Linked DNA regions of Cricetulus griseus. The protein of the gene in region 1 interacts with the protein of each later gene in a biochemical or structural test. Links are inferred from orthologs where the notes say so. Each region holds a gene or a part of one and is shown in the gene's direction. Other genes may lie near its edges.

Region 1 (3,748 bases):
GTCTGTCTTCTCCCTCCCCCTGTCCTCCTTCACACCCTATTCTGGTTTTTGGAATCAGATGGAGGAGTGAGGGCTGCAGATGTGACCAGAGGTTGCCTTGCTGAGCCAGGAGGAAAAGATTCTGGTGCCAGATGCTCTGTATGCCCTCCTGTAGGCTCTCCTCTTTAGAAATGTCTTGCTTAAGTGGTCCACTCCTGCAGGCTGGTTGGGAGTTAAGAGAAGAGGTGAATAGGGAGTTTATAGCTGCCTAGCTTAAGTACTGCAGTGTTCCTCTGCCTTAGTGCATGGCTGATCTCAGAGATGGGGGGCGGGGGGAGGCAGGGCTGTGTCTAGGCTAAAAGGTAGACCCAGCCTTTCCTCCGGTTACAGCACAGAGGAAGGGAAGGAGGCATCTTGTTAGTGAGACACCCACAGGTTCCCTCAGAGAAGGCAGACTTAGAAATGAGGCTTCCTGCCATGTGGTGTGAAGATGAAGGCGCTAACCGAAAAGTCCAGCTGTGTGGCACTCCAGGTGTCCTGCTCTGGAAGATTGCCTTTGAGGCATAAAGGAACATCACCAGAAGGAGATGGGAGTCATTGCCAGGAGTCAGGTAGAAGCGCCTGGGGCCACAAAGGGGCTTTTGAAGTAATGTTTGAAGCTAGAAGAAGACCAAGGAAGATGAAGCCCGTGTGTCATGCCAGTGGCAGCAGAATCGACTGGGCTAGTGAGCCGGCTCTTCAAAGGCTGGCAAGAGTGAACATTCCCAGATCAGGGAAGGACAAGGCCAGGGTGGCTCAGCTCTGCCCCCAAGTCCACTTGTGAGGATAGACACATACAGACAGAAACCCTTCTCAGATACCTCTAGCTTGTGTCAAGTTAACAAAACAACAACCAAGACAGCACTTATGCTTTCTCTCAAGCCAGAGGCATTAGCTGGAGGCCACAGCGAATAGAGGTCTCAGCCCCAGGTGATAACTCCATTGACAACCAGAGCAGTCTGTAAGAAGACAGACCAGGGCCGTCTCTCGGCTCTGTCCCAGCAGTTCCCCATCTGTCCCATTTGGCCCTGTCTAATGTCCAAAAGTGACATGCATAGGATATTCACAAGCTGTGCTGTTAAGTGACTATGTATTATCCTCAGACACTCTAACCTGTCTGTAGCTCCAGGTCCTTGAGAAAATCTCAGAGGTAGAGAGAGCCCTTCCCATCCTTGAGGCCTAGGGCCTTTGAAATGGTGTTCCAGCCAGGACAACCTTGCCACTGCGCTGGAGAGCCAAGCCTTTTTGCAAGCCTGGGGTGGGTTCCTGAGCTCCAAGGCTCCTCAGTGCAGCTGAGGTATGGATGTGGAGAGCTGAAATCTCCAGGATCTGAGGCTCCGAGCTGCTCCCACCCAGACCCTCTCCCAACCAGGGAATGCATGTCCACCAAGATGTGGACGTCAAGAGGCCAAGTAGCCCTTCCTTTCCCTAAACTGAAAGACACCATGGGTCAATCTGGTTTTGAGGGCTAGGAAAGCCAGGCTCCTGCCCCTTCCAAAGAATCGCTTGGGGCTGTGGATGAGACTCCTATCTCGTTCTCATCTGTGCCATTTGTTTCTTCTGAGTCTGCTCAGAGAGGAAAAATTTGGAGCAGATACCTCAGTCCTTGCATACCTGAGGCATTGGCCCCTTCCCTGAGCCTCCGCAAGCAGGCACAACTTGCCCCACCCCACCCTACCCCATCTCACACTTCACATACTTGTGCCAACACTGTCCATAGATTCATACCCCTCACACGTGCATCCCACGTACACATCTGTACACACACCCATGCTCACCTGTATGGTCTTGCCCTTTCACACCTCCCTCTCTAAGGAGTGTGACCCAGTTCACACCTGCACACGCATCCCCTCTACTCTACCCTCTGGTGCACACAGATGCTCTTACTGTGCCAGCTTAGTAACATTCCTACATCTTCCTGTATGTGTGCACACTTGCTCTAGAGTGCAGGGTCATCTCACCTGGTCCTTCGGGCCTCTGAACTCCTGACCTATTGGCTTTTTTGTGTTGCAGTCCTCCCTCGAGCTGGAAGACAGCAGCAGTGAATCCAGTGACCTCCAGCTGGAGGGCCCCAATTTCCTCAAGGCATCGGACGAGAGCCTCGCTGACCCCCAAGCGGAAGACAGGGCCCTGGTTTTCTTTGACCTCAAGATTGACAGTGAAAGTGGGTTCCCCAAGAGCTACACCATCTCTTTTACATCATCTCTTTTTTTATCTTAGTCTCTGAGTCCTCAGGAAAAGTGCAGTTAGAGACACCTGGAAGGCTCCAGCCAGCCCTTAGCACTGACAGGCTGTGGCAGCCAGGTAGACAGAGGACTCTGACCCCACCTAGGATATCTGATGTTGCCATATCTGCCTAAGTGGAACGTGGGTATGGGAGGGAGATATGTAATGCCATCGGTTCACGTCTGACAAGACCTTCTCTATACAGAGAGTCTGGGAACAGTGTGTGAGCTCATTGCTGACAAGTAATCCACACTTGACCTTTGGCTACAATCACACATTTCCCCAAACAGGGCCCAGCCCACAAAGGGATACACAGGGAGGCTTGCAGAACCTAGATCTCAGGGAGTTGTGACTCCTCCTCTTAGAAGCCCCCTGTCTTCCTCGCTGTCATCCTTGCCCAGCCCCTCAGCTCTGACCCTTTGTCCTGGCTAACAGTTGTGGGCCCTGCCATTGTGGCTGGCCTACCAGACAGAAGCATCAGGTATTTGCATAGCACACATCTGTAGGCTTCAGGGGGAGACTCTGGGCCATGCCCTTAGGGGGTACACAGGCCATTTCTGTTGTCTTCAGTCCTGGGCTGGTACTGATGGGGTTGGAGGTAGGAGTAGGATTATAGAAGGCCCAGAAGAAACCCTCTGGGGTCTCTGGTGGAGGTGGAGGCTGAGAAAATACAAAAAGGGCAGAGTTCTTAGGATTGAGCAAACTCTAGGAGGGCAGGAGGGATAGGGAAAACCACCTTGCCGACAAGTGAGCCCCCGACCCGTCCCATCAAAGCTAGGCAAGAACTACATTGGTTCAAGAACTATTTGGTTCCTGCCAGCAGGCCTCAAGGTGGGCTCTCTAGATAGTGGGTGAGCAGCCTGGCCCCTTGCACCCAGTGCCTCCTAAACCCTGGAGCCTTACCCTGCCCTTCTTTCCTGCCTAGCCCAGAAAATTAGCCAACTGGCAGCTGTGAACCAGGAAAGCAAGTTCCGAGTACTCATCGAGCCGGAGACCTTCAGTGTCTACTCTAAGGCAGTCTCCCTGGAGGTCGGACTGCAGCACTTCCTCAACTTTCTCACCTCCATGCAGCGCCCCATCTTGGCCTGCTCTAAGCTGTGGGGGCCTGGGCTCCCCATTTTCTTCAAGGCCCTGGATGATATTAACAAGCTGTGGGAATTCCAGGGTGCCATCTACGGCTTCTTGGCTGTGTTGCCTCTCATTCAGGAACGCATACCCGGTGCCAGCAGCTTCAAACTCAGGAACCTGGCCAAGACCTACCTGGCGAGAAACATGAGTGAACGGAGTGCCCTGGCTGCTGTGCTGGCCATGCGAGACTTGTGCTGCCTCCTTGAGGTCTCCCCAGGGCCACAGCTGGTCCAGCATGTCTACCCCTTCAGTAACTTACAGTGCTTCTCTTCCCTGCAGCCCCTAGTTCAGGCTAGTGTCCTGCCCCCGGCCGAGGCCCGCCTCTTGGCCCTCCACAATGTGAGCTTTCTAGAACTGCTGACTGCATACCGCAGCA
Region 2 (4,219 bases), on another chromosome or scaffold:
TGTGTTCTGAGCATTCCTGACTACTCGTCGAGCCTTAATCACACACATGAAAAATTTCACACGAATGTTGTTTTTACTCATGGCTATTTCCTAGAAATAAAGAGAATTTGATCCAAATAAATAGATGTAGAACAAAGTGTCAAAGGTTGACATGGTCTAGGGATACTTAATACTGCTGGGTTTTAGGACTTGGCCATATAAAAAATCAGTATATAAGGTGATATCATAATCTACTTTTATATATACAAGTCAGGATCCCCGAACAAGCAAGTTCAGATCCTTCCCTTTCCCAGTTGCTGATAGTATGGAAAAGGCTGCGAGCTTCAGAGGTTTTCCCTACTTCAAGACTGAATTCAGACAGGCAGTTAACTGGGTCTAGAATTCTGAAGCACCTCTCCAAGGCTTCTAAGTAGGGTCTGACCCAGAGACCTACTAAATTAGGGAGCTTGGTAAATAATTTGAATGAACAAACTTAAAAGTTTGGCATAGATTACATGTTTAAGACCTCTGGTGTGCCCCATTAGAAATCACTGATTTAAATTCCTCCAGTTACTTAAGGTTCTGCAGGCTGTTAGAGTCTAAGCTAAGATGTTCCCGGAGTTTCTCTTCCCAGTCTCTGGTTGCTACCCCAGCCCTACTTCCTGTGATCAATCAAGCGCAACAAGATGCACACTAATTTCCAGAAGATATAGTTTGAAATCGACTTAGATCTCAAATCCTCATTTGTCAAGGAAGGCACAACTATGTAAAGCCACAGCGAAAAGCTGCCATGGAAACCTGAACCTAAGCAAAAAAAAAAAAAAAAAAAATCAACGAACGGAACCAGAAGACAGCGGGTAAGGGAGCGGAGGGACAGAGAAAATCAAAGGACGGTGGGCGCACTAACAGCACTCCAAGTGTGAGAAAGAAGAAAAGATCAGTCTGGGCCTGACGGGGCGATTAAGACTAGACTCAAACGCTTCCTTGGCTTCTCAGCCTCGCCACCTCGCGCAAGCGTCCCCCGAGTCCGTAACTCTGCTCTTTGACCTCTTGCCCCACCCCCTTTCTTCCTCGGCGGCTGCCCAGCCGTCTTCCGGTGCCGTAAAGACGGTTCCGGTTCACGGAGGTTCCCGGGCTTTGCGTTCTGAGCCCGGCCGGAAACTCCTTTGCCTAGCAGCCGGTTCCGGTTCGGTGAGTGGCGGCGGGAAACTGGGGGAGGGGTGAGGATGGAGGGAGACTGGGCCGGGAGTCTGTGTCGGACCGGGCCCGCCGGCCTCCGCGGGGCTGAGCGGAAGCGAGGACCGCGGTGGGGACTGTGCTTTTTCTTCCGCCCCGCCCCCTGGGACCACCTCCACTCCCCCCTGCTGTCCGGTGGCGGCTGTCTGACCCGGGGCTGGTAGCTGGGCTTCCTGAGGCCGCCCTTTGAGGCCTCCGTCTCCTGACCCGCGGAGAGGCCGTCTCCCGGCGGTCACAGCAGGCCCCTCTCAGCGCCCAGCTCTACTTCTCCACAGAGAAAAAGGCCGGTTGGGATTCCTGGAGTTTCCCGCCAGAGCAGGGTCCCCTCCAAGGGAGAGAGAGAGCTGTTTCCACCAAGAAGTTCAGCTTTCAATCCCACCTGCTTCACCTGTCTTCTTTGAGACCTGAATGATACTTCTCGACTACTTCTGTGTCCCACGCAAACAATTCTACAACTCTTTTACCCTGTGGTATTTCCCTGAGATGCGATATCGCTAGTGCCACCACCAGAGAGAAACGTCTGGACCCTCCTGCACAGGTTATGAAAACTCCCTTAACTGCCACAGTTTTCTTCTTACCTGGCTCATCGCCTCTTGGTAATTGTCTTGAACCTTTGCTTCGTGATCTTTCTGGATACGTGCTAGGTTTCCCTGGTCTCGAGCTTGGTGATTTCTGTTTTATCAGTACCTCTACAGTTTTTCTGTTATCTTGTTGGCAATAACTCGCTCCTTTATCACTTTAAACTCACACTTGTTAAAATTATTTAGTTCGTGTGACATACTTCTTGTGTTAGAGCGGTGGTGATTCCTGTAACAATTTCTGTCGTCTTTTATAGCCTGTCAACTGTTTGACTTAAAGTTTTTCGTTGTAATGGGAAATTCTGGATGAAGTAGGTAATATGCATAAGTATTCTCCCTAAAGATCATTTGTATTCAGGATCTAGCCTTTTACCTACATTCAGGACTCTTGCTGACATGTGAAGTACAGTGCCTTTGATGTTACAGTGACACCTTAACGAATGACCTTAATCTTCCAATTAGACTGCCTGCTCCCAGTCCCTGTCCCTTTTAGAGTGCTTCTTCATTCATTCATTTTACCTGATTTCAGTTAATTATCCCAACTGCAAAAGTGGATATCCTGTCACTCATCTGTTGGATTACGTCTAAAGAGGAAGTGGATGAGTAGACAAACAGGTTCTGCCACTTGTGGCTAAAGAGTGATGTAATTTCTTTCTTTCATTGACATCTGTTTCTCCTACTAGTTGTACCAGTTTTGCTGGATCTGTGAATACATCTGGCATCCTTTACTAGCCTATGAATTTATTTATTTGTTTATTTATTTATCTATTTATTTATTTGGTGTTTTGAGACATGGTTTCTCTATAACAGCCCTGGCTGTCCTGGAACTGACTCTGTAGATCAGGCTGGTCTAGAACTCACAGAGATCCACCTGGCCCTGCCTCTGGAGTGCTGGGATTAAAGATGTGTGCCACTACCACCGGCAAGAAAGATTTTCTTAAAAGAAAAAAATTGTCATCCTTGCTAGAATTTGATGACATCTAAGGCTCCTTATCTATGACTTCATGCAGAATCTTGGTTTTGTTGTTGTTTTTTAACTCTCTTCCAACACTATTATAAACGTAGGTACTAGAAGCACACCGCAGAAGCAAGATGTATTGTATTAAGGTGTAAACATAGAGCTCTAGCCATCTAAACATATAAGCCAGGATAGATGACCAAAGCTAGTCGGAGGTTATTTTTCAATTGCCCAGGTAAATCTTTGAATGAGGGTGTTTGAGGGATGTGAGGCTGTGCTGTGCTTCAGATGTGCTCTTGCTGGGGAATTCTTCCTTTGGCCTCATTGGTGTGATTTCATGCAAGTCATTTAACTTTTCTGAATTACTGACTTTGTAGTAGGTTTTCCCCTTCCACATCTCTAAAATGAAAAAGAAATTAACTGGGGTTGTTCTTCTGGATAGCAGATTTTCTTTTCTTTTTGAGAGAGCATCTTGCTGTATAATTCAGAGTGACTCCAAACTTGGAATCTTTCTACCGTCCAAGTTCTGGATACCATACTCTTAAATTGGTCTTTTCCTTCTCCTTTTTTTTTTTTTTTTTTTTTTTTTTTTTTTTTTTTGTGAGTTAGGGTTTCTGTGTAACAATCCTGGATGTCCTGGAACTCCCTTTCTAGACCAGGCTGTCATAGAACTCACAGAGATCTGCCTGCTTCTTCCTCGAAAGCACTGGGATTGAAAGCATGGCCACCACCACCAGGCTGGGCAGTCTTTTTAAAAAAGATGGGTGGAGTGGGCTACTCACAATTAGAAAGTGACCTTGGTTGATAGGCTGCTCACTGAAGCAGCCTTCCTTGTGTGCTCTTTGTTATTGTGACCATTGAAAAAGCCTGTTGACATCTCAGTCCCTTGAATACTTGGAGAATTCAGAATGGCTGTGGACTTGTGAACCAAGTACTCAGTCTTAACTATGGTACTAAAAGTGGGGGTGTGTATACATGTGTGGTTATGTTAATTACGTAGTTCCAAGCAGTTAGGCTCTTAACTACCCCAACCCTTTTCTGGGAAAATTCATTATCTGTAACTTCACTTTCTGCAGTTACAGTTACAGTCAACTGTATTTAGAAAATAGATGGAAAATTCTATATTTTGAGATAGACTATTCATGAGAACACATACACATAGAGTGTGTGTTTTGTTATATAACCCTAGCTGGCCTAGAACTATGTAGACCAGACTGCCTCAAACTTATAGAGATCTACCAGCCTCTGCCTCCCAAATTGTTACTGTTGTTAATCTCTTATTCTAAATTAAATTAAACTTTCTTAGAGCTATATGTATAGGAAGTGTGTATGTATGTGTGTGTGCATATACAATTCAATACCACTTGTGGTTTCAGACTGTTGTGATCCGAGGCTCTGAATCAACCCAAGTAGACACAAGAAGTTACCTCAAGGCAAGATTTAATGCAGGGCAGCACAAAAGAAGCCG
Region 3 (4,381 bases), on another chromosome or scaffold:
TTATGTTGCATGATCCTGATGGGTGCCTTTGGGAGTGGGGGAAAGTAGACACAACAGCAATGACACAGGCATTAGGAACAAGTTGAAACAACAAGCTCAGTTTATTGCAGGAAGGGGTAAGCCTTATATACTCCCCCCAACCCTGCCCCAGGGGAGGAGATCCACTGAGAAGGCATCTGCTGAGGTGATATGGTCACTGTCCACGTCATCTCTCGTCAGACTTACTGCTATTGTCAAGGCCCTCTGGCAGACCCAGGCTAGCTGTTAGGAAATATCTACTGCGCATGCTGTAGGCCAGCTGTCAGGCCCCATTGAGCTTAGTTATCCCACAAAATTATAATTCATATTTTGGAAGACTCTAAGGGTCACTGTGAAGATGTCTTTTAGGCAATTTGCACAAAAGAAACCTAACTGCCAGCTGCACATATAAAATGACATTTCAATGAACCAGAGAAATGTACATCGAAACCATTTTATAGCCACCAGATTGGCAAAGTATAATTAAAGTTGAAAATACCAATAGTATAGATGAACAAAAACTCTTGAGCCTTTCTGAAGGGAGACGCAATGTAACTGTGGCCAAACTCTAGAACCATTGTACATGGCATTAAGTCCTGGCTCTAACCCTGATATGCTGTGCATCCCCAAAAGGTGCTTCACAGGTGCCCTTGCCCTTTTGAAAGTTATATAATGCTTTGGTACCATCAGCAAAATATGAATGATGGTCATAAATCCTTCAATACTGAGGACTAATCATCCACCCACTACAAGTTGATTAATATTAGGAATATTTCCTCTCAGAAACAACTATACAGAGTCTGTAGATTTCATTTAATGATCAGGTAAAGAAGATTTAGTTAAGTGCAGTATAGTTTTCAAAAATAAACAACTGATATACTCAAAACTGTAATCCTCACCTTTCCCCTATTTCGTTTGGTTGGTTTTAAAATATATTGTAAAAATAAGATGGCTAATTATTGAGGAAATTTTTGGAACAAAATACAAAAAGGTTTTTTTACTCTTGGTACTAAAGTGGGTTCACACACACAAAAAAGTATATTAAAGGAAAATGATGCCATCAGAATATTGGATTAAACTCCAGTATCTTGAAACTGTGCTGTGGAAAATTAGAGGGAAAGGTTTGTGATTTGTCTTGTGATTTGTTTGTGTATCCTCAGACTTGCACATAGTAGGAGCCTGATAGATACTAGTCAACTCCTTGTATGCATGAGGTAAGAAATCAATCCACAATCATGGACCGCATTGCATCCCCTAAAAAGGGACCCAAAAGCTACAAGCAAATCAAGATTCCTAGCTTCCGGTAATACTTACCATCTTCCTGTTGCCTATGCTGTAAAACATAGCGGGGGGAGGGGGAGAAGGAGGCGGAGGGGAGGAAGCCTCCGTTTTTAAAAAAAATCAATAAATTATCCGGAAACACTAAATAGGAAACACACAGCGCGAGGCGCAGCAACTTCCGGAACCAGGACGGAACCACTTACCCGAACATGTGCAGTTCGGCGGGAAGGATTTAGGAACAGGATCACTTCCTGCTTCTGGATAGGGGCGGGTGCCGAGAAAGGAAATCGCTGTGGGAGCCGCATCCTGCCTGCGCTAGCGGCGCCAGAGGTGGAGGCAGAGAGGGCGGAGGAGGCAGAGAAGGGTGCTGCAGAGAAAAAAGTGTCAAAGCCAGTAAGTCAGAGCCTTAGAGCAGGGGATGGAGAGCAGAGCTCCAGGTCTCGCTGTGCGGATCTGTGATCTCAACTTGCCGAACTGCCCCAGTGCGGTTAGGGCAGTGCTTTGTAGGTCGCCTGTCAGTCAGCCCCGAAAAGAGACTATTGGGGCGCCCGGGTTGGGCCTTGCGGGGCGCCAGACTGCGCTTCTTGCCGGCCGACCAAGGTGTCTTGAAGCCAGGGGAAGCCTGTGCTGTGCTGTGCTTTCTGGGGACGCTAGGGCTCCGCATCCTGGACAGCTTCACTTGGGATTCTGAGGGGAGTGAGCACTGTGCTTCCCACGTCACCTTTGGAAGCCAGTGAGATCCTAGTGGTGGACAGTATTTCGGGGAATAAGACAAGGGCTCTGGAGAGTGTAAGTCTGGAGCTATACTTTCCCTGCCCTTGTTCAAGCTGTCCGGGCTGGTCGGAAGCTGAGTTGTTTTTAAAAAGCAAATGCCTCGGCCTGCTCTCTGTCACTTCGGAATGAGTTAACAACCTTCCAGTGTTTAAGACATGTTTCCGCTCCGACTCATTGAGTTAGAACTGCTGTGGTATCAAGTGTTTGTTCTGCAAATATGCTTGGGGGCGAAGTTCAAAACGAAACAAAAATCTCCAAGTGCATTTCGAACGGAGACAAGACCGAGAAGCTATCATGACTACTTTCACGCTTTCCCTCACCTTCACGAGTAATCAATTGACTTAGCCTCCTTAGTTAATGATAGGCATCTTAAAGGCATTGCATTCTCTTATGATTATGCATCTGCACAAAAAATATGTCGGGATGTAAGATTCTTGATTACAGACGAAATGAGTGAAATGATTACAAAGGTTGCTGGAGAATCAGAAACAGTTTTTAGTAAGTTACTGCTTTTCTCTTGCTTAAGGTACGGCTTTTGAATACGGTGAAAGATACTTTTCATGGTGCATGGAAGGAAAGCCAATGCGCAGGTAAGCCATTTAAGATTTCACTGATTGAAGCTTAGCGGCTATTAACAGTGCATCGTTTAAAATCATTTTATTCACAAACCGTACTAAACCCTGCTTGGAATTGATCATTCTTGTTTCAAGTAAATCAAAACTAACAATGTCAGAAATTAGCAGCTTTTTTTGTTTGTTTTGGATTGTTTTTCGTTGTTGTTTTAAATAAGAACTTATGTAGTCCTGGCTGTCCTGGAACTAGCTCTTGTAGACCAGGCTGGCCTCAGGTTCACAGAGCTCATCTGCCTCTGTCTCCCAAGTGCTGGAATTAAAGGTGTGCACCACCACCCTCTGCAGCTTTTCAATGAAATGTAGGTGTTAGATTTCTAGGGAGAGTTTGGATTTTTAGGTCCTTAATACTTAAATATGCCTTTTTTGCATAGTAATTTTTGTTATATATAACCATAGGATGCTTTGTGTGTTTATTATAAATTTAATTCTTTGTATAATATAGAAGATTTCTGTTGCCAAATAAAAGTAGTATTTGTAAGACACTATACTGCATTCCTAGGCGTGGTTTGGTTGTTTTACTGGTGTTCAGTAATATATTATGTTTATTAAATAGTTGCATGAAGGAGAAGATTAAGGACTAAAATAGCTGTAGAAAAATAGAAGTGTGAGGAAACTATGCACAATTACAGGCTGTCTTGCTGCTAGAATTTATTAATGTCTTTTCTCAGTCCGTCCTAACAAATTATACCAGAATCTTTATTGAAACAAGTCAATTCTATTGACTCATTGTTTAAACTCATTATTGTCAAACTCTTATTTTGTAATATGTTGCTTAACATCAAAGATAAATAACACAAAGATTCTTTAAGAAAAGGGAAATTACAGCATAAGGACAGGGCTGGACATGACTGTGCAACCCTGTAAAGCCCAGCACCTTGCAGGCAGAGGCAGCAAGATCTTGGGATCACATTCAAGTAAAAGGAGAGAGAATATATATCCTTTTCCGGATTTGTTACTGATTAATCAATTGGCTTTGAACCATTTTACCTTTTCTTGCCCTGTTAACTTCGCTGGTGTATCTGCCTGTGATATTTAGAATTAATAAATGTTCACAAATGCTTTAAGATGTACAAATGAAAAGACATCATAGAGGTGACATGTTCCGTTAGGATAATGGACCCTGCATTATAGCTTACCCTACAGTAAGAATAAGAATTGTAAAGTACTAGAAGAAACTCACTACACAATATTAAGTGCTTTACCACTTCATTTTCTAGCATGATTACAAAAGCCACAGATTTTGTTTTATCCTCAGTTGCCATAGTATCATATCTTAAGTAATTGCTAAAATAAGAACTTAAAATTTTAAATTAAATTTTATTTAAAATTTTTATCATATAATATAGTTTGATCATTTTCTTTCCCCTCCCCCAGTTCCTCCCCACTCCCTAACCATGGAACTTCATGTTCTTTCTCTGTCTTAAAACACACACACACAATAACAATAACAACAGCAACATGGAGTATATTTTGCGCTGGCCTGCCCTGGAGTGCAGTTGATATACCCAGGGAAAACTGACTTTTCCTCTCAACAACTAGCAGTTGCAAATAGCTTCTTGGTTAGTGTGAAGCTTTGTGCCCAATCCCCTTCTCAGTGCTGGGATTTTATAAAGGAAAGTCAGACTGTGGCAACATTCTTAGTTTATTAGTAATTTCTGTATAAAATATTCACTTAA
Region 4 (4,203 bases), on another chromosome or scaffold:
AAGTTCCGAGATTGCAGTTAGGCCATGAGAGAACCGAGCTTGCCACCTCTTTAGTCCTAAGTGGTGGAGAATGGAGGTCGGATAGCAGAACCCTAGGACAAAAACCACTTACATGTGTCTAGCGCTTCCTAGAGGCCACACAGGATATGAATCCACCAGCGGGCGGGGAGGGGAGACTTTAGCCTGCTTCTACCAGGGACTCCCGCTTAGGCAGCGTGACTTTCGGGCGAGTCGGCGGCGGCTCTCAAGACTTGTTTTCCCAGAAGCAAATCAGGAGCTGGGGGGTGGGGGGTAGGGCGGGCGCGGGTTGCGTATGCGCGAGACGCGCCCGGGCAAAGGCGATCGCTGGGGTTTCCTGAGTTTTGAACCCTTAAATGTTGATTTTGACCCCCATGGATGCTGGGGTCGCCCCTTTATTTCACGTCTAGAAAGCGCGTCCCTCTGAGGCAAAGCGAGCCCCTCCCCGCATGTCTCCAGAGGGTGAAGTGTTGTGCCGAGGACCCTGACGAGTCGGTTCTTAGTACCGCAAATCTCTAGCTTCCAGGTAGAGCACACAGCGGCACAGATCCTCCTCTGGAACTTAACCAAGAGATAAACTTCCACGCGTGCTCAACGTGGGAGGGACACTCAAGCCCGTTCAACTTCAACACACTTTCTCGCTCCCGCACCCGGGGCGCACACAACCATCTTCACCCGCGCCGCTGCCTCCCGGAAGTGTGGGGGTGCAGAGCCTGCTGGAGCTCAGGTCGCTCAGCCCCTTCACGTGTGTGCGTGTGTGTGCGTGTGTGTGTGTGCTTGTGTGTGCGTGCGTGCGCGCGCGCCACCTCCACTCCCCACCCAGGCCTTCCGCCCGGGGCCACTAGCGAGCCTCCCCAGCTTTCTGGATGCCGGTGTCTCGATCCCCGTCCCCAACCCTGAACTTGAGCCCGCCTCCGACAGACGCCGCAAGGGTCCAGCCGACCCGGCAGCCTCCGTCACTAGACAGCCAAACCAAGACGTCAGCCCACAATGCACCGGGCGGGCCGGGAAAGACGCGCCGGGGAGGGAACCCGGGAACACAAGCCTGAGCGCCGCGCGGGAGGGGGAGGGAGGAGGAGAAAGAAGGGCCCAACTGTAGGAGCGCAGCGGAGCATTACCTCATCCCGTGAGCCTTCGCGGGCCCAGAGAAGAATCTTCTGGGGTGAGGTCTCCATGGCGACAGGCGGGCCCGCCCCCCTGAGAGCGACGCAGGCCAATGGGAAGGCCTTGGGGTGACATCATGGGCTATTTTTAGGGGTTGACTGGTAGCAGATAAGTGTTGAGCTCAGGCTGGATAAGAAGGACTCAGAGTTGCACTGAGTGTGGCAGAGACGTCCTGGCAGGAACGCGCTCAGACAGAGAGGCAGAGAGAGAGAGCGGGACGGACGGAAGGAAGGACGGACGTTCTCGGCCAATCTGGACGGCCGCGGACTCCGGGCTGCTCATCTGTTTGTCTTCATTTTCTCACCGACTACCTGGACCCAGCGCCCGCGGCTCCAGCACCGGTGTTTTGGGGAGCACTTGGAGAGTCCCTTCTCCCGCCTTCCCCGGAGAAGCAGCTCGCAAGTCCCTGCGCTGCTGACAGCATCGAGAGCGGTGCCTGCCCGAGCGAGGAAATAGGCGAGCGGCTACGCCGACCACCAACTTTCCTGACCCAGAAGACCGGGAACAAGTGGCCCGGAGCGAACTTTTGCAAACCTTTTCAGCGCCTTAGGCTGCCCCCGAGACCGTAAAGAAAGGGGAGAAGAGGAAGAACCCACACTCAGCCCCGCTCGCACAGGCGGCTGAAGTTGGGCGAGCGCTAGCCGCGGCCGCCGAGCGTCCCCCTCCCCCTCACAGCGGAGGAGGGGACAGTTGTCGGAGTCCGGGCGGCGGAGCCCGATCGCGGGCTTCCACCGACAGTTCCGTGACGACTGGTCAGCGCCGCCGGAGAGCTGCTGTCGCTGGAGCTGGTCTGCGGTCTCCGAGGAACTGCTACTACCCGAGAGCGCTCCGCGAGTGACCGCGACTTTTCAAAGCCCGGCAGCGCGCGGGAGCCGACCAACGTGAGTGAAGGCGGTACCTTAACCCTGCGCTCCCTGGAGCGAGCTGGGGAGGAGGGCGCAGGGGGGGAGCACTGCCGACCGGAGCGCGCGCTCTTAGACAAACTTTACTTGTCACAGACGCAGGGACGCGCGGGTGTCCCCCGCTTCCCAGCGCGCTGTTGCGGCCCCGAAACTTCAGCGCGCAGCCCAGACGAACCCCGCGTGAACTGACCGACCGTTCTATGACTGCAAAGATGGAAACGACCTTCTACGACGATGCCCTCAACGCCTCGTTCCTCCAGTCCGAGAGCGGCGCCTACGGCTACAGTAACCCCAAGATCCTGAAACAGAGCATGACCTTGAACCTGGCCGACCCGGTGGGCAACCTGAAGCCGCATCTCCGCGCCAAGAACTCGGACCTCCTCACGTCGCCCGACGTTGGGTTGCTCAAGCTGGCGTCGCCCGAGCTGGAGCGCCTGATCATCCAGTCCAGCAATGGGCACATCACCACCACGCCGACCCCCACCCAGTTCTTGTGCCCCAAGAACGTGACCGACGAGCAGGAGGGTTTCGCCGAGGGCTTCGTGCGCGCCCTGGCCGAACTGCATAGCCAGAACACGCTGCCCAGCGTCACGTCGGCGGCACAGCCGGTCAGCGGTGCGGGCATGGTGGCTCCCGCGGTGGCTTCGGTAGCCGGCGCCAGCGGCGGCGGCGGCTACAGCGCCAGCCTACACAGCGAGCCTCCGGTCTACGCCAACCTCAGCAACTTCAACCCGGGTGCGCTGAGCAGCGGCGGCGGGGCGCCCTCCTACGGCGCGGCCGGGCTGGCCTTTCCGTCGCAGCCCCAGCAGCAGCAGCAGCCGCCTCAGCCGCCGCACCACTTGCCCCAACAGATCCCGGTGCAGCACCCGCGGCTGCAGGCCCTGAAGGAAGAGCCCCAGACCGTGCCCGAGATGCCGGGAGAGACCCCGCCCCTGTCCCCCATCGACATGGAGTCTCAGGAGCGGATCAAGGCGGAGAGGAAGCGCATGAGGAACCGCATCGCCGCCTCCAAGTGCCGGAAAAGGAAGCTGGAGAGGATCGCCCGGCTAGAGGAAAAAGTGAAAACCTTGAAAGCGCAAAACTCGGAGCTGGCGTCCACGGCCAACATGCTCAGGGAACAGGTGGCACAGCTTAAACAGAAAGTCATGAACCACGTTAACAGTGGGTGCCAACTCATGCTAACGCAGCAGTTGCAAACGTTTTGAGGACAGAGTGTCAGGGCTGAGGGGCAATGGAAGAAAAAAAATATAACAAAGACAGACTTGAGAACTTGACTGGTTGCGAAAGAAAAAAAAAAGTGCCCGAGTACCGAAGCCAAGGGTACACGAGATGGACTGGGTTGCGTCCTGACGGCGCCCCCAGTGTGCTGGAGTGGGAAGGACGTGGCGCGCCTTGCCTTGGCATGGAGCCAGAGAGCGGCGGCCTGTTGGCTGCTAGGCTTTGCGATCGGGCTGTGCCCGCGAGACCAGAACGATGGACTTTTCGTTAACATTGACCAAGAACTGCATGGACCTAACATTCGATCTCATTCAGTATTAAAGGGGGGCGGGGAGGGGTTACAAACTGCAATAGAGACTGTAGATTGCTTCTGTAGTGCTCCTTAAGAACACAAAGCAGGGAGGGCTAGGGAGGGGAGGGAGGCTCGTGAGTGCCAGGCTAGACTGCAGATGAACTCCCCTGGCCTGCCTTCCTCAACTGTGTATGTACATATATATTTTTTTTAATTTGATGAAAGCTGATTACTGTCAATAAACAGCTTCCTGCCTTTGTAAGTTATTCCATGTTTGTTTGTTTGGGTGTCCTGCCCAGTGTTGTTTGTAAATAAGAGATTTGAAGCATTCTGAGTTTACCATTTGTAATAAAGTATATAATTTTTTTATGTTTTGTTTCTGAAAATTTCCAGAAAGGATATTTAAGAAAATACAATAAACTATTGAAAAGTAGCCCCCAACCTCTTTGCTGCATTATCCATAGATAATAGTAGCTAGATGGAATAACAGCTGAATGTCAAATTCGCTAGAGTAAAAGCTGTGTTCTCTGTTTGATTGTAGGAATAGATGCCCTGCATGCTATCATAGGGTCATACTCTCTCCCGCAGCAACTCACAAGTCCAGACTGT
Region 5 (3,748 bases), on another chromosome or scaffold:
TCTAATATGGGTATTACCTTTCTCAGTCTCCTTCCCACCCAGCAGCATTGCACCCAGGATGTGCCAGAATGCAGACTCTCATGCCACCCCCAGCTGCAAGGCTCCCTTCCTGCCTGGAGAGAGTCTCTACATTGTCAGTAACAGCTGGTATTTCAGCCACATTCGGTTCTTAGGCCACTCCCTGGGAGAGCTAGTCTCATCCTGCCTTGGTTCTGGAGAGCTGCAGGGTTATTGCAGCTTCTGCTGTTCACCCCAGTTGTTTGTTAGGGCCATCCCTTGGCATGATCACGTCTAATCCCCTTGGCTACCCAGAAGGGATCCAGGCAGGCCTCCTTCCTTCCACACACCTCCCAGGTATTGCTATACATTTGCCATAGAGGACCAGTGTGGGGCCCAGCTTGGACCTGTGCCTTTACCCTGGGTTTTGTTACTCCCGTCTCCCTCATTTGCAACTCCAGCCCAGTATGCAGCCGAAGGCCAGAGCCCAACTGCCTCTCCAGAGTCAAGGTGAATGAATGCCTGACCAGGCCCAGGGACTGAGTGATTCATGCCTGAGCAGTCTCAGGAACATGTCCTTCCTGGAAGGCTATTGTTTACAAGGGGAGGGGGCAGGTCTTCTAGATAGCCAAGGACATGCCGCTAACCTATGACCTCTCCACCCTCCTGCAGCCGTTAGTACCAGTCACCATTCATCCTCCTTCAAGTCCAAGTCCTCCAGCACCGTGACCTCCACCAGTGGCCACTCTTCAGGGAGCTCATCAGGAGCCATCGCCTATCGGCAGCAACGCCCAGGCCCCCATTTCCAGCAGCAGCAGCCCCTCAATCTCAGCCAGGTAAACCTCAGCAGCCTAAGGGGCCTTGATGGCTTATTCCTATGCTAGACCAACCCTGGGAAAGGTGGTATCACTGGTTCAGAGAGCCAACCCAAGCAAAGGGAAGATAGAGTACTTAATGACATGGTGCCAGAGCTGACTTGCTGGTCAGATGACCCACATGGGCCCACAAAAAGGTGGGCATAGTGACCTGCCATTGCTCTGGGTCACCAGGCTAGCCCTGAAGTTGCCTCACTGTAGGAAGTCCTCGCAGTCAGCACCCCAGACCCATGGATAATGTACCCTACGACTTGCTCAAGTGCCCCAGTGGTTTGGGTTCTCTACAGGAGAGAATGCTCTTTGTTTGGATTGGTTCTAGAGGTCACCAGTTTTAGAGTGAGATTTCACAACATGTGGGAAGGCAGTCACTACTCAGAGAGAGAGAGACCACTTCAGTAGAACGTCCACTGGCTTTGTGGACTGGCTGAGTGTCGCCCTAGTCTGGTGACTTGCCAGGCAGATGTTACTTTCCCAATCCAAACAAATGTTTATGCTCTCTGCTTTTGAAGGGAGGCATCTGTTGTCAGTCTTGATTTCCTTCTCCTTCCCCTCCTCCCCCTAACACAGTCCTTCTGCTACTTTTCCTTCTCAGGCTCAGCAGCACATGGCTACAGACCGGACTGGGAATCACCGTCGACAGCAGGCCTACATCACTCCTACCATGGCCCAGGCTCCATACACCTTCCCGCACAACAGCCCCAGCCATGGCACTGTGCATCCCCACCTGGCTGCTGCTGCCCACCTTCCTACCCAGCCTCACCTCTACACCTATACAGCACCTACAGCCCTAGGCTCCACCGGCACCGTAGCCCACCTGGTGGCATCCCAAGGCTCAGCACGCCACACTGTGCAGCACACTGCCTATCCGGCCAGCATCGTCCACCAAGTCCCTGTGAGCATGGGGCCCCGGGTCCTACCCTCACCCACCATCCACCCCAGTCAGTATCCGGCCCAGTTTGCCCACCAGACGTACATCAGCGCCTCACCAGCCTCCACCGTCTACACTGGATATCCACTGAGTCCTGCCAAGGTCAACCAGTACCCTTACATATAAACACAGGAGGGGCCCGCAGGGAGCGGGGTGGAGGAGCTCCCAACAGACCCAGGGAGCTGGATTTTTATACTGCAGGTGCCGCACACCAACAATGCAAATGGGGCAGGACGGGGGGAGGGGGAGGGACACACAGTTGGGACACAGATGAAACTTGAACTAGGAAGTGGGAGGACTCAGAGCAGAGCAGAGAACATTTTAGAAGGATTAGGAGTGGGAAATCTATGCTTTTTATTTTAAAAAAGAAAAAGGAAAAAAAGAAAAAGAAAAAATGTTAGTAACAAAAGAGGAAAAAAGAAAAAAAAAACAGCTCAAAACCCATTCTGCACCAAACTGGAAAGGAAAAGAGGAGCTACAGGAAGATTCTGGAAGCAAGGGGCCCCAGTGTTTGAAGAACTTTATGAACTTTTTAAAGATTATTTTCATAGGGCAGCAAGTGACACTGAAGAATTTGCTGTCAGGGACACCTGATGTGGAAATCCAATAGATTTTTAATTAATTGAATATGAAAATTAGGGATTTTTCCAGAACTCCAAAAGGGTCAACACCCCTTTCAAATGTCAGGCCATGGCCTGAGGAGGCTCATATTTGGGGGATGGTCTGGGGTTGGCAAAGCCCAATTCTGGCTCATTTGTCAGGAATAGTGGGGTCAGCCAGACTGATGGAAAACCCCTCAGGAGAGAGGCGGGTTTCCTCTTTTGGGGCATTCTGGATAAATCTCTCAGCAATGTTATTCCTCAGATGTCATTAGTAATGTGTGTTGCAGTCTTTAATTATTTTTCTTTTCTGAGATTTTATTTTCTCTTTGAATCAACCCCTAGTCTTGTAGCATAGGGCTAGTGGTCGTCGTGGACACCCTAGTAGAATGTAGCACTCTGCGCCCTTGCTTCCTACCTTGTGTTCAACTCCAGTGATACCAATAGACTATTCCTCAATATAATTGCACAAAAAAGTGATATAACATAGGCATGGAACCAATGTGGTGGTCTAAGCGAGCGAGTGAGTGTGCATGAGCACGAGTGGGTGTGAGCGGGGCTGCCACCCTCCCCGTGTGTCCCTTGGCACCGCCGTTACAGCCCTTGCCGTCTTGATTTTACATCATTCCCTCCTAGTGCCTTAACGACCGACAGACAGACAGACAAGGTGAAGGGTTTACTTCCACTGGTACTCCAAGAAACTGGCTGGGCCTGGTCAGATATGTTCTCAGCTCTTGTGTTAAGCTGTCAGAGTATTTTACTTGGGTCTTCTTGTTTTTGTATCGTTTTAATGTCATGTGGATTGTCTTTCCTGGGCTCTTTGTGAGCAGAGGGTTTCAAAGAAGCTTTCGTAACTAAATGGGGAGAGTTGTGGATCTCAAGTGGCATGTGGGAGCAGGTGGGGCAGCCTGGTGACAGCGGGCTCTTTTGCTGAGTTTTACTCTGAGGGCAGAGGTCTAGAGAGACACCCAGCTCCTCCCACCCCCAGCTCTGCCACACATGGCTCTAGGGGGTCTTTAGGAAGGTCAGCTCTGCCAGGCAGCTGCCTCACCTCCAAGCCCACCTCCTCCTTCCTGGAGCCATATGGGGAAAGGCAGGAGACCTGTTCCCATTTCTGGTTACCTCCCCAGTCCCTCCATCCCACAAGAAGCCTGGTTGTCTCTGACATACCCACATGTCTCTCCACCAGCTCCAGGGACTGAGATCGGGCCCCTAGTGTCACCAACTCTCCCCTACAGGCCTCTATGGCGAGTTTGCTGTTGCTTTTTTCCTGAAGTTAACCTAGGTCTCCCAAAACACTTTGATCTCTGACCTTGAGAGATACAGCAGGCAGAGGGGCTGGGGGGGAC
Region 6 (3,271 bases), on another chromosome or scaffold:
CTTGTCTTCAGCCATGCAGAGCTTGTCCTGGGCAAAACAAAGGCTGCCTAGCCCTTCCTTCTTTCTTACCTTTAAATTCTTATTTTCCTCTAGCTTTCTCCAGGCTTCTCTGTCTTCTTTCTATTTCACAAAGTGTAGGATTTTGTGTTTTCTTTCTAGATTTATGTGTGGATGTGGGTGGTATGTGTGTAGGGAAACTATTTTTGTGTGTACATACAGAGGCCAGAGGAGAGTTGTTCTGTAACTCTTTACTTCATAACCTTAGAAAACATCTGTCACTGAACCTTAGCTAGACTGGTGACCCACAAGCCCCAGCAGTCCTCTTACCTCTTTCCTGCCTGGTGCTGCGATACAAGCACTGGATTTTTGTGTGAATGCTGAGGATCCAAATTCGGGTCCTCATGTTTGACCATCCAATCCTCTTACCCGCTGAACTATCTCCCAAGCCCCCATCCTTCTTCAGATTTAATGCTTCCTTTTTAGTTTCTAAGTTCAAGTATCTCTCAGCCACTTGGGCTATCTGTTTTGGGGAAGGATCATTTGATTCATTTCTCCCAGGGATAGTGTCTCATATCCTCTGGTAGTACTTGGAATAAATGGCCATGGTATTCTTAGTTCTTGCTGTTAAGTCTCAAGGGGAGGTCTTGATGCTTTTCCCAAAGCACATGAAGTAAAGAAGGAAGGGTATCATTAATAACTGCTCAAGCCTCAGGCCTAACTATTTCCCCTGCCCAAGGGTGTCTGCTCATTCTAGGCCTATGCTGATGTTGGTCTGTCCCTTTTGCTTCTCTACAGGACTATGACCTTTGTATCAATTGCTACAACACAAAGAGCCACACCCATAAAATGGTGAAGTGGGGACTGGGCCTAGACGATGAGGGCAGCAGTCAAGGTGAGCCACAGTCCAAGAGCCCCCAGGAGTCCCGGCGTCTCAGCATCCAACGCTGCATCCAGTCCCTGGTCCATGCCTGCCAGTGTCGCAATGCCAACTGCTCTCTGCCATCTTGCCAGAAGATGAAACGAGTAGTGCAGCACACCAAGGGTTGTAAACGCAAGACTAATGGAGGATGCCCCGTATGCAAGCAGCTCATTGCTCTTTGCTGCTACCACGCCAAACACTGCCAAGAAAATAAATGCCCTGTGCCCTTCTGCCTCAACATCAAACACAAGCTCCGCCAGCAGCAGATCCAGCATCGCCTGCAGCAGGCCCAGCTCATGCGCCGTCGAATGGCCACCATGAACACCCGCAATGTGCCTCAGCAGAGTTTGCCTTCTCCTACCTCAGCACCACCTGGGACCCCCACACAGCAGCCCAGCACACCCCAAACACCACAGCCCCCTGCCCAGCCTCAGCCTTCACCTGTAAACATGTCACCAGCTGGCTTCCCTAATGTAGCCCGGACTCAGCCCCCAACGATAGTGTCTGCTGGGAAGCCTACCAACCAGGTGCCAGCTCCCCCACCTCCTGCCCAGCCCCCACCTGCGGCAGTAGAAGCAGCAAGGCAAATTGAACGTGAGGCCCAGCAGCAGCAGCATCTGTACCGAGCAAACATCAACAATGGCATGCCCCCAGGGCGTGCAGGTATGGGAACCCCAGGGAGCCAGATGGCCCCTGTGGGCCTGAATGTGCCCCGTCCCAACCAAGTCAGTGGGCCTGTCATGTCTAGCATGCCACCTGGGCAATGGCAGCAGGCACCCATCCCCCAGCAGCAGCCAATGCCAGGCATGCCCAGGCCTGTGATGTCTATGCAGGCCCAGGCAGCAGTGGCTGGGCCACGGATGCCCAATGTGCAGCCACCAAGGAGCATCTCGCCAAGTGCCCTGCAAGACCTGCTTCGGACCCTGAAGTCGCCCAGCTCCCCTCAGCAGCAGCAGCAGGTGCTGAACATCCTCAAATCAAACCCACAGCTAATGGCAGCTTTCATTAAACAGCGCACAGCCAAGTATGTGGCCAATCAGCCTGGCATGCAGCCCCAGCCTGGACTTCAGTCCCAGCCTGGTATGCAGCCCCAGCCCGGCATGCACCAGCAGCCCAGCCTGCAGAACCTGAATGCAATGCAAGCTGGTGTGCCACGGCCTGGTGTGCCTCCACAGCAACAGGCGATGGGAGGCCTGAATCCCCAGGGACAGGCTCTGAACATCATGAACCCTGGACACAACCCCAACATGGCAAACATGAATCCACAGTACCGAGAAATGGTTAGGAGACAGCTGCTACAGCACCAACAGCAGCAGCAGCAACAGCAGCAACAGCAGCAACAAAGCAGTGCCAGCATGGCCGGGGGCATGGCAGGACATGGCCAGTTCCAGCAGCCACAAGGACCTGGAGGCTACGCCCCAGCCATGCAGCAGCAACGTATGCAACAGCACCTCCCCATCCAGGGTAGCTCCATGGGCCAGATGGCTGCTCCAATGGGACAACTTGGCCAAATGGGGCAGCCTGGGCTGGGGGCAGACAGCACCCCCAGCATTCAGCAGGCCCTACAGCAGCGGATTCTGCAGCAGCAGCAGATGAAGCAGCAGATTGGGTCCCCAGGCCAGCCGAACCCCATGAGCCCCCAGCAGCACATGCTCTCAGGACAGCCACAGGCCTCGCATCTCCCCGGCCAGCAGATCGCCACATCCCTTAGTAACCAGGTGCGGTCTCCAGCCCCTGTCCAGTCTCCACGGCCCCAATCCCAGCCTCCACATTCCAGCCCATCACCACGGATACAGCCCCAGCCTTCACCACACCATGTTTCACCCCAGACTGGCTCCCCCCACCCCGGACTCGCAGTCACCATGGCCAGCTCCATGGATCAGGGACACCTGGGGAACCCCGAACAGAGTGCAATGCTCCCCCAGCTGAATACCCCCAACAGGAGCGCGCTGTCCAGTGAACTGTCCCTGGTTGGTGATACCACGGGAGACACACTAGAAAAATTTGTGGAGGGTTTGTAGCATTATGAGAGCATTGGGTGTTTGGTTTTTTGTTTTGGGATTTTATTTTATTTTATTATTTTTTGGGGGTTTTTTGTTTTCTTTTTTCTTTTTTTCTTTTCTTTTTTTTTTCTTTTTTTTTTTTTTTTTGTTTTGTTTTGTTTTGTTTTTCCCCCCTCCCCTTTCATGTTCTTGGACTTTTTGTACTGAAAATCCAGGCGTCTGGGCTCTTTTTATTACGCCTAGATGGACTGTGACTCCCAAGCATGGAAGGGTGGATTGATGTCTAAAACAATACAAAGAATATATTTTTTGTTAAAAACCAGTTGATTTAAATATCTGGTCGGTCTCT
Region 7 (4,401 bases), on another chromosome or scaffold:
CTTAGGCTAGAAGGGCAAATTGCTAATTTTATTTTATTTGTAAATTTGGTCACTTTAAGTAGGATTTTGATTAGACATATACGGTCCTGCTTATAAGTTGAAATTTCTTTAGACACTTTGAACTATATTCTACATATAAAATGTCCTATTAACTTGAAAAGTATTTTTCCTATTTTGCTCTCCCATTACCTTGCAAGGTGTATTGTTCCTATTCTGCTCTCACATGCCTTATTAAATATTCAAAATATTTTCATAAGGAATGCCAACATTTCCCTTCAAACTTGTAAATTTTCTCTATTCCAATTATAACATTTGAAGAATATACTCAAGACATCCAAACACACATTTTACATCGGAGTCAGATATGTGTCTATCAGACCTACTTTCATCATAAATTCCCTTAAAATTCCATAAAATATCAGAGATTGTAATAGCACAAACATTAACGCTGGGTTTTGACCTGCTGTCATTCCAGTTGAATGCACTCTACAGAAGCACATTTACAGCAATCTTCATACAGCCTGAGGGTCACCATTCATGTTTTCTAGTTGCTATTTATCAATCATTTTCTAATTGTCAAGGCAGGTGCTCAAGAAAAACAGCATTGTTTTTGTAGTGCCATTCTGTTTTGCTGCACTCTAGGAGGGCCTAGCATGCACTAGTATTATCTGTTAAGCCTCACACTCTTTCTCCTAAGTAGGTAAAATGGATCCCCTCTAACAGCTGTGAATGTGCTGAGACTTGCCTAAAATCATGCTGCTGGTTTTCATTATCAGATAGATAGGAGGGACATGAGATGTCCCAAGACCCAAGAATTCCAGGCTCTAGCCTTTCCCGAGGCCGGTTCTTCTCAGGTCATTCTTCTGAAGGACAGCGAGTAGTTAGCATTTGTGTTCCTTTCTGAGTTTTGTCTTCCTCACCCCTCGCCTCTGCTCCTGACACACTGGGCAGCTAGCCTGCAGTTTCCTGGGCATGCACGCACCTCCCCCACCCCCGCCCCCGGCTATGGCACACAAAATGTCTAGCTGGACGTTCTCTTCCCGTCTAGTCCTCAAGCCTCCTCCAGGTGAGCCTCCGGGACTCCCGATGGGACCCGTGTGAAGAGCGTGGGGGCCGACACGCCCACTCAGGGCCTGGCATTTGGGGTGCGGATCCCGGCGAGGTTGCCTGTGGATCACCAGAAAATTGGGACCTTGGGCCAGTCTCCCGTAGGTGTCATCAACGACCGAGGAGCCTGAGATGGGCATGGAGTGACTGGTGGGGACTACGGTTTAGTGTTAGTGGCGGCCATGAGGCCGCTTGTAAACCAGGTCAGAAGACAAGGGTCGGTCACAAGCAGCAGGTGAGCAAGCTCGCACAGCGCCCCAGCAACGACACCACCAAGTTCTCGCGGGAGGAGTGCGACCGGCGGAACTCTCGCGAGACGTGGAAACTCGGGCACGCAGGCGGGGGCGTGGCCGGAAGAAGGTGCATTTCAAAGTGGTAATAGATAGTTCTCTTACCCAATAGAATTACAAATGAGCCTCCTAAACCGGTAGAGCACGGGAATAAGGGCGGCGAAGGCCAATGGGGACTGTGAAGGGCGGGCCAGGGCCGGCCGAGCGGAAGTGGGTCTCGGTGAGGCGGTGGAGTCGTGCTTGAGCGGGTCGCCTCAGCGGCTGGTGGAGGAGGCACGTCCTTGTTGGAGCGCATTGGCTGTGGCGTCTGCCTGATCTCACCAACTCCAGGTAAGACCAGGCTTCCCAGGATGGAGGCGGCAAGCCAGGACGGCGAGGGCGTGGGGGCGCGGACGGCTTCTCGACCTGCAGCCGAGTTGGTGCCCGCCAGTCGCGGCTCGTTCGGCAGCCCGGGACCGCACCTCTCGGGGTCGGGCCCACTCAGCCTCCTCGGCCCCCGAGAGCGCGCGGGTGTCGGATCCCGGCGCGGCGCTCGCTCGCTCGCGTCGGAAATAGGGAAGTCTCTCTCTGGGGCGCCTCTCGCCCACCTGGCCGCGGCCTGGCCGGATGGACTTCTTTTGCAAACTAGGAAGGGAAACTGAGGTTCAAAGAGGGGAAGGACGCGTCCAAGGTCACTCTTTTGGCTGGGCGGGCCGATTGGAGAGGATCTCTGAGCAAGGGTTTTGTTCACCGGTGACGACGCAGCCTTTGTGTGTTGGCGCCGCCGCCCCGCCTTCCTGGGGCCTGCGAGTTTACTGGGGCACCCAAGCCGCGTGGCGGGCCCTGTCTAAGCTGGGAGAGTTGAGGACGCTTGCGGGCCTTGGAACTGAATGGGGTTTGGGCTTCCAGGAGCCGCTTTCTGCCTTACTAATGGTTGGTGAAGCGTGCGATTGAGACTTGGCCCAGCCCTGCACCCTCTGAGGTCCTTCCCTCCCCGGCACATCTGTACACAGGAATAGGAAACAACCTGATCTTAATCCTAAACACGGTTGCAGTGGACGCCATTGTCTACCGCTTGACTCGCGAGGGAGGAGTCCAGATCTGGGCGTTTCTGCTTTTGTTTTTTTTTTTTTACTTGTCTGTGCCCATAGGCGCTTCGAGCTTTCAGTTCTTCTGCAGTCTGCTGCTCAGTTTAGGCTGCCCAAGTGGTTGAAGGAGACTCAGGTCCATAAATAGGGAAGAGGCCCAGGTCTTTCTGTCTGCGGTTGGACGCAGATTGACTATATAGTTCCTGACAGTGGTGAGAGGGAAACCGCTCCACCCACCCCAAATACACCCTGTGCTTGTTTTATGGATAAACAAATTGGGTTCGGGTTTACCTGTGAGTTCGATATGGAGTGAGTGGAAAGATGTCTTGCTGGCCTTTGTATTGCTTAAATGTGATTTTCCAACTTTTCTGAAAAGCTTTCTTTTTAACACGGTGTTTACCACTGGGGGTGGGGTGGGGGGAGGGGCGGCAGGATTGGTTTTTTTGAGAGTGGATTTCTCTGTCCTGGAATTTGCTTTGTAGACCAGGCTGGCTTCGGACTCAGAGGTCGGCCTGTCTCTGTCTCCCAGCTGTTAAGGCACAGTAATAGAAAAGAGCCTAGAGTGAGTGAGTGACATCTAGGGTACCTGGAAATGAAATACTGTTCTACTTAAAATGCTTTTTTGGACTTAACATTCCTTCCAGTGGTGTTGATGTAACAGGGAACACATTGTACATAGTAGGAAGTTGAGTTTGCTGTACTGTTTCTTTGAGAAACAGCAGGGAAAAAATCAGAAAATTAAAGCCTGCTGAACTACCTTACAAAAGGTACTTCCGTTACTTTAAGAGCCACAGTTATGCAGGTGTGGTACTGCAAGCATTCCTTCTCAGGTTGACAGTAACTTAATGTGGTAGACTAAGGCTCATTTCCATAAACAAGCTTACAGTATCATAATTAGTTGTGCCAGTCAGTTAACACTTGCAGAAGGACACTACACGTTTTCTAAAAGTCGTTGGTCAAGTTGTTGAGTAGTGGGCCTGTAGTGGGCCTGTAATTACATGTTTTTACTCATAAGTCCTGTGAGCTTTAGCATAGTAAGGTGATTTTTATAAGACACACATTTCTATAACTACAAATGAAGCTAGGCAGGTGAGGGCAAGTTAGGGAAAAGAGGCTAGCTGTGTAGTGTAACCATATTACATTGTGATAATTAGAACGGAGGTAGCAGCAGGAGACATCCTGAAATTGAAATATTACCTTGCTCTGATTGTCTTGAGTTTTCCAGGGACATTCTACCTGAATCCCTCGAATCCAGTATTTGTAACATTCTGGGGTTTCTGGTTTGCCTTCATTTAGTTTGCTTGCTTCTTGGCTTTTATCTCTTAGTCTTTCTGCTTCAGTCTCCCAAAATCTGGGATTATAGGTATATGTAACAACATGCTTTGGTTTCATGGAATCATTCTTTTGGAATTAACACCTGGATACCCTAGCATGAATGTTTCTCTCTCACCCTCACAACTTTAGAAAAGCTTGGGTGTCTGTCTTTTCCTGGTTATAAGTGGTCACTGTTCTACCCTAGGTCTTTTTCCCCCCCTTGAGACAGGGTTTCCTCTGTAGGCCTGGCTGTCCTGGAACTGAATAGAACAGGCCTGCCTCTGCCTCTCAAGTGCTGAGATTAAAGGATTGTACCACTAAGGCCAGACACTCTCGGTCTTTTAATGGCAAGGACACCATCACCCTCAAAGTCATTTGCTCATTGTAATCAATTATCATGAGTATCTGTTATGTGCAAAATACTAGGGAAGTGGAAAGTAGATAAAGCCCTATCAAATTGAGGCTTCCTTTGCACTAAAGGATGGTGGGACCCTTGCTAAGGTCATAGTGCTGGAGGATTGTGTTGGAGGAAAGAGGAGCCAACAGTTCCTTGACATACTAATTTCCACGTCAGTTTTCTTCTAGAATATCTCTTATTTTGGTCTTGGCATAGCACTTAGAGT

What was found.
Region 2: of the proteins of Pml (region 1) and Senp1, one has a biochemical effect on the other in vitro, tested with the Homo sapiens proteins (2 studies listed by BioGRID). The link is inferred for Cricetulus griseus from reciprocal best matches to the Homo sapiens genes PML and SENP1.
Region 3: the proteins of Pml (region 1) and Klhl20 form a complex in vitro, tested with the Homo sapiens proteins (3 studies listed by BioGRID and IntAct, with this or other methods). The link is inferred for Cricetulus griseus from reciprocal best matches to the Homo sapiens genes PML and KLHL20.
Region 4: the proteins of Pml (region 1) and transcription factor AP-1 form a complex in vitro, tested with the Homo sapiens proteins (2 studies listed by BioGRID). The link is inferred for Cricetulus griseus from reciprocal best matches to the Homo sapiens genes PML and JUN.
Region 5: of the proteins of Pml (region 1) and Hipk2, one has a biochemical effect on the other in vitro, tested with the Homo sapiens proteins (2 studies listed by BioGRID). The link is inferred for Cricetulus griseus from reciprocal best matches to the Homo sapiens genes PML and HIPK2.
Region 6: the proteins of Pml (region 1) and histone lysine acetyltransferase CREBBP form a complex in vitro, tested with the Homo sapiens proteins (2 studies listed by BioGRID). The link is inferred for Cricetulus griseus from reciprocal best matches to the Homo sapiens genes PML and CREBBP.
Region 7: of the proteins of Pml (region 1) and Rnf4, one has a biochemical effect on the other in vitro, tested with the Homo sapiens proteins (3 studies listed by BioGRID, with this or other methods). The link is inferred for Cricetulus griseus from reciprocal best matches to the Homo sapiens genes PML and RNF4.

The regions. Positions count from the first base shown.
Region 1 is NC_048597.1:169,824,016-169,827,763, reverse strand, and holds part of Pml (protein PML), read left to right. Parts: intron 1-2,031; coding exon 2,032-2,182; intron 2,183-3,169; coding exon 3,170-3,748.
Region 2 is NC_048595.1:394,573,776-394,577,994, reverse strand, and holds the start of Senp1 (sentrin-specific protease 1), read left to right. Parts: upstream 1-1,178; 5' UTR 1,179-1,756; coding exon 1,757-1,811; intron 1,812-4,127; exon of another isoform or gene 4,128-4,219. Other genes in the region: Pfkm (ATP-dependent 6-phosphofructokinase, muscle type), read right to left, coding at 1-81. UniProt on the Homo sapiens protein: Protease that catalyzes two essential functions in the SUMO pathway.
Region 3 is NC_048598.1:30,929,686-30,934,066, forward strand, and holds the start of Klhl20 (kelch-like protein 20), read left to right. Parts: upstream 1-1,543; 5' UTR 1,544-1,692; intron 1,693-2,599; 5' UTR 2,600-2,640; coding exon 2,641-2,663; intron 2,664-4,381. UniProt on the Homo sapiens protein: Substrate-specific adapter of a BCR (BTB-CUL3-RBX1) E3 ubiquitin-protein ligase complex involved in interferon response and anterograde Golgi to endosome transport.
Region 4 is NC_048595.1:53,811,222-53,815,424, forward strand, and holds transcription factor AP-1, read left to right. Parts: upstream 1-1,194; 5' UTR 1,195-2,063; intron 2,064-2,180; 5' UTR 2,181-2,284; coding exon 2,285-3,289; 3' UTR 3,290-4,027; downstream 4,028-4,203. UniProt on the Homo sapiens protein: Transcription factor that recognizes and binds to the AP-1 consensus motif 5'-TGA[GC]TCA-3'.
Region 5 is NW_023276806.1:189,474,945-189,478,692, forward strand, and holds part of Hipk2 (homeodomain-interacting protein kinase 2), read left to right. Parts: intron 1-669; coding exon 670-833; intron 834-1,464; coding exon 1,465-1,926; 3' UTR 1,927-3,748.
Region 6 is NC_048600.1:42,574,407-42,577,677, forward strand, and holds part of histone lysine acetyltransferase CREBBP, read left to right. Parts: intron 1-795; coding exon 796-2,940; 3' UTR 2,941-3,271. UniProt on the Homo sapiens protein: Acetylates histones, giving a specific tag for transcriptional activation. Mediates acetylation of histone H3 at 'Lys-18' and 'Lys-27' (H3K18ac and H3K27ac, respectively).
Region 7 is NW_023276807.1:103,322,506-103,326,906, forward strand, and holds the start of Rnf4 (E3 ubiquitin-protein ligase RNF4), read left to right. Parts: upstream 1-1,569; 5' UTR 1,570-1,727; intron 1,728-4,401. UniProt on the Homo sapiens protein: E3 ubiquitin-protein ligase which binds polysumoylated chains covalently attached to proteins and mediates 'Lys-6'-, 'Lys-11'-, 'Lys-48'- and 'Lys-63'-linked polyubiquitination of those substrates and their subsequent targeting to the proteasome for degradation.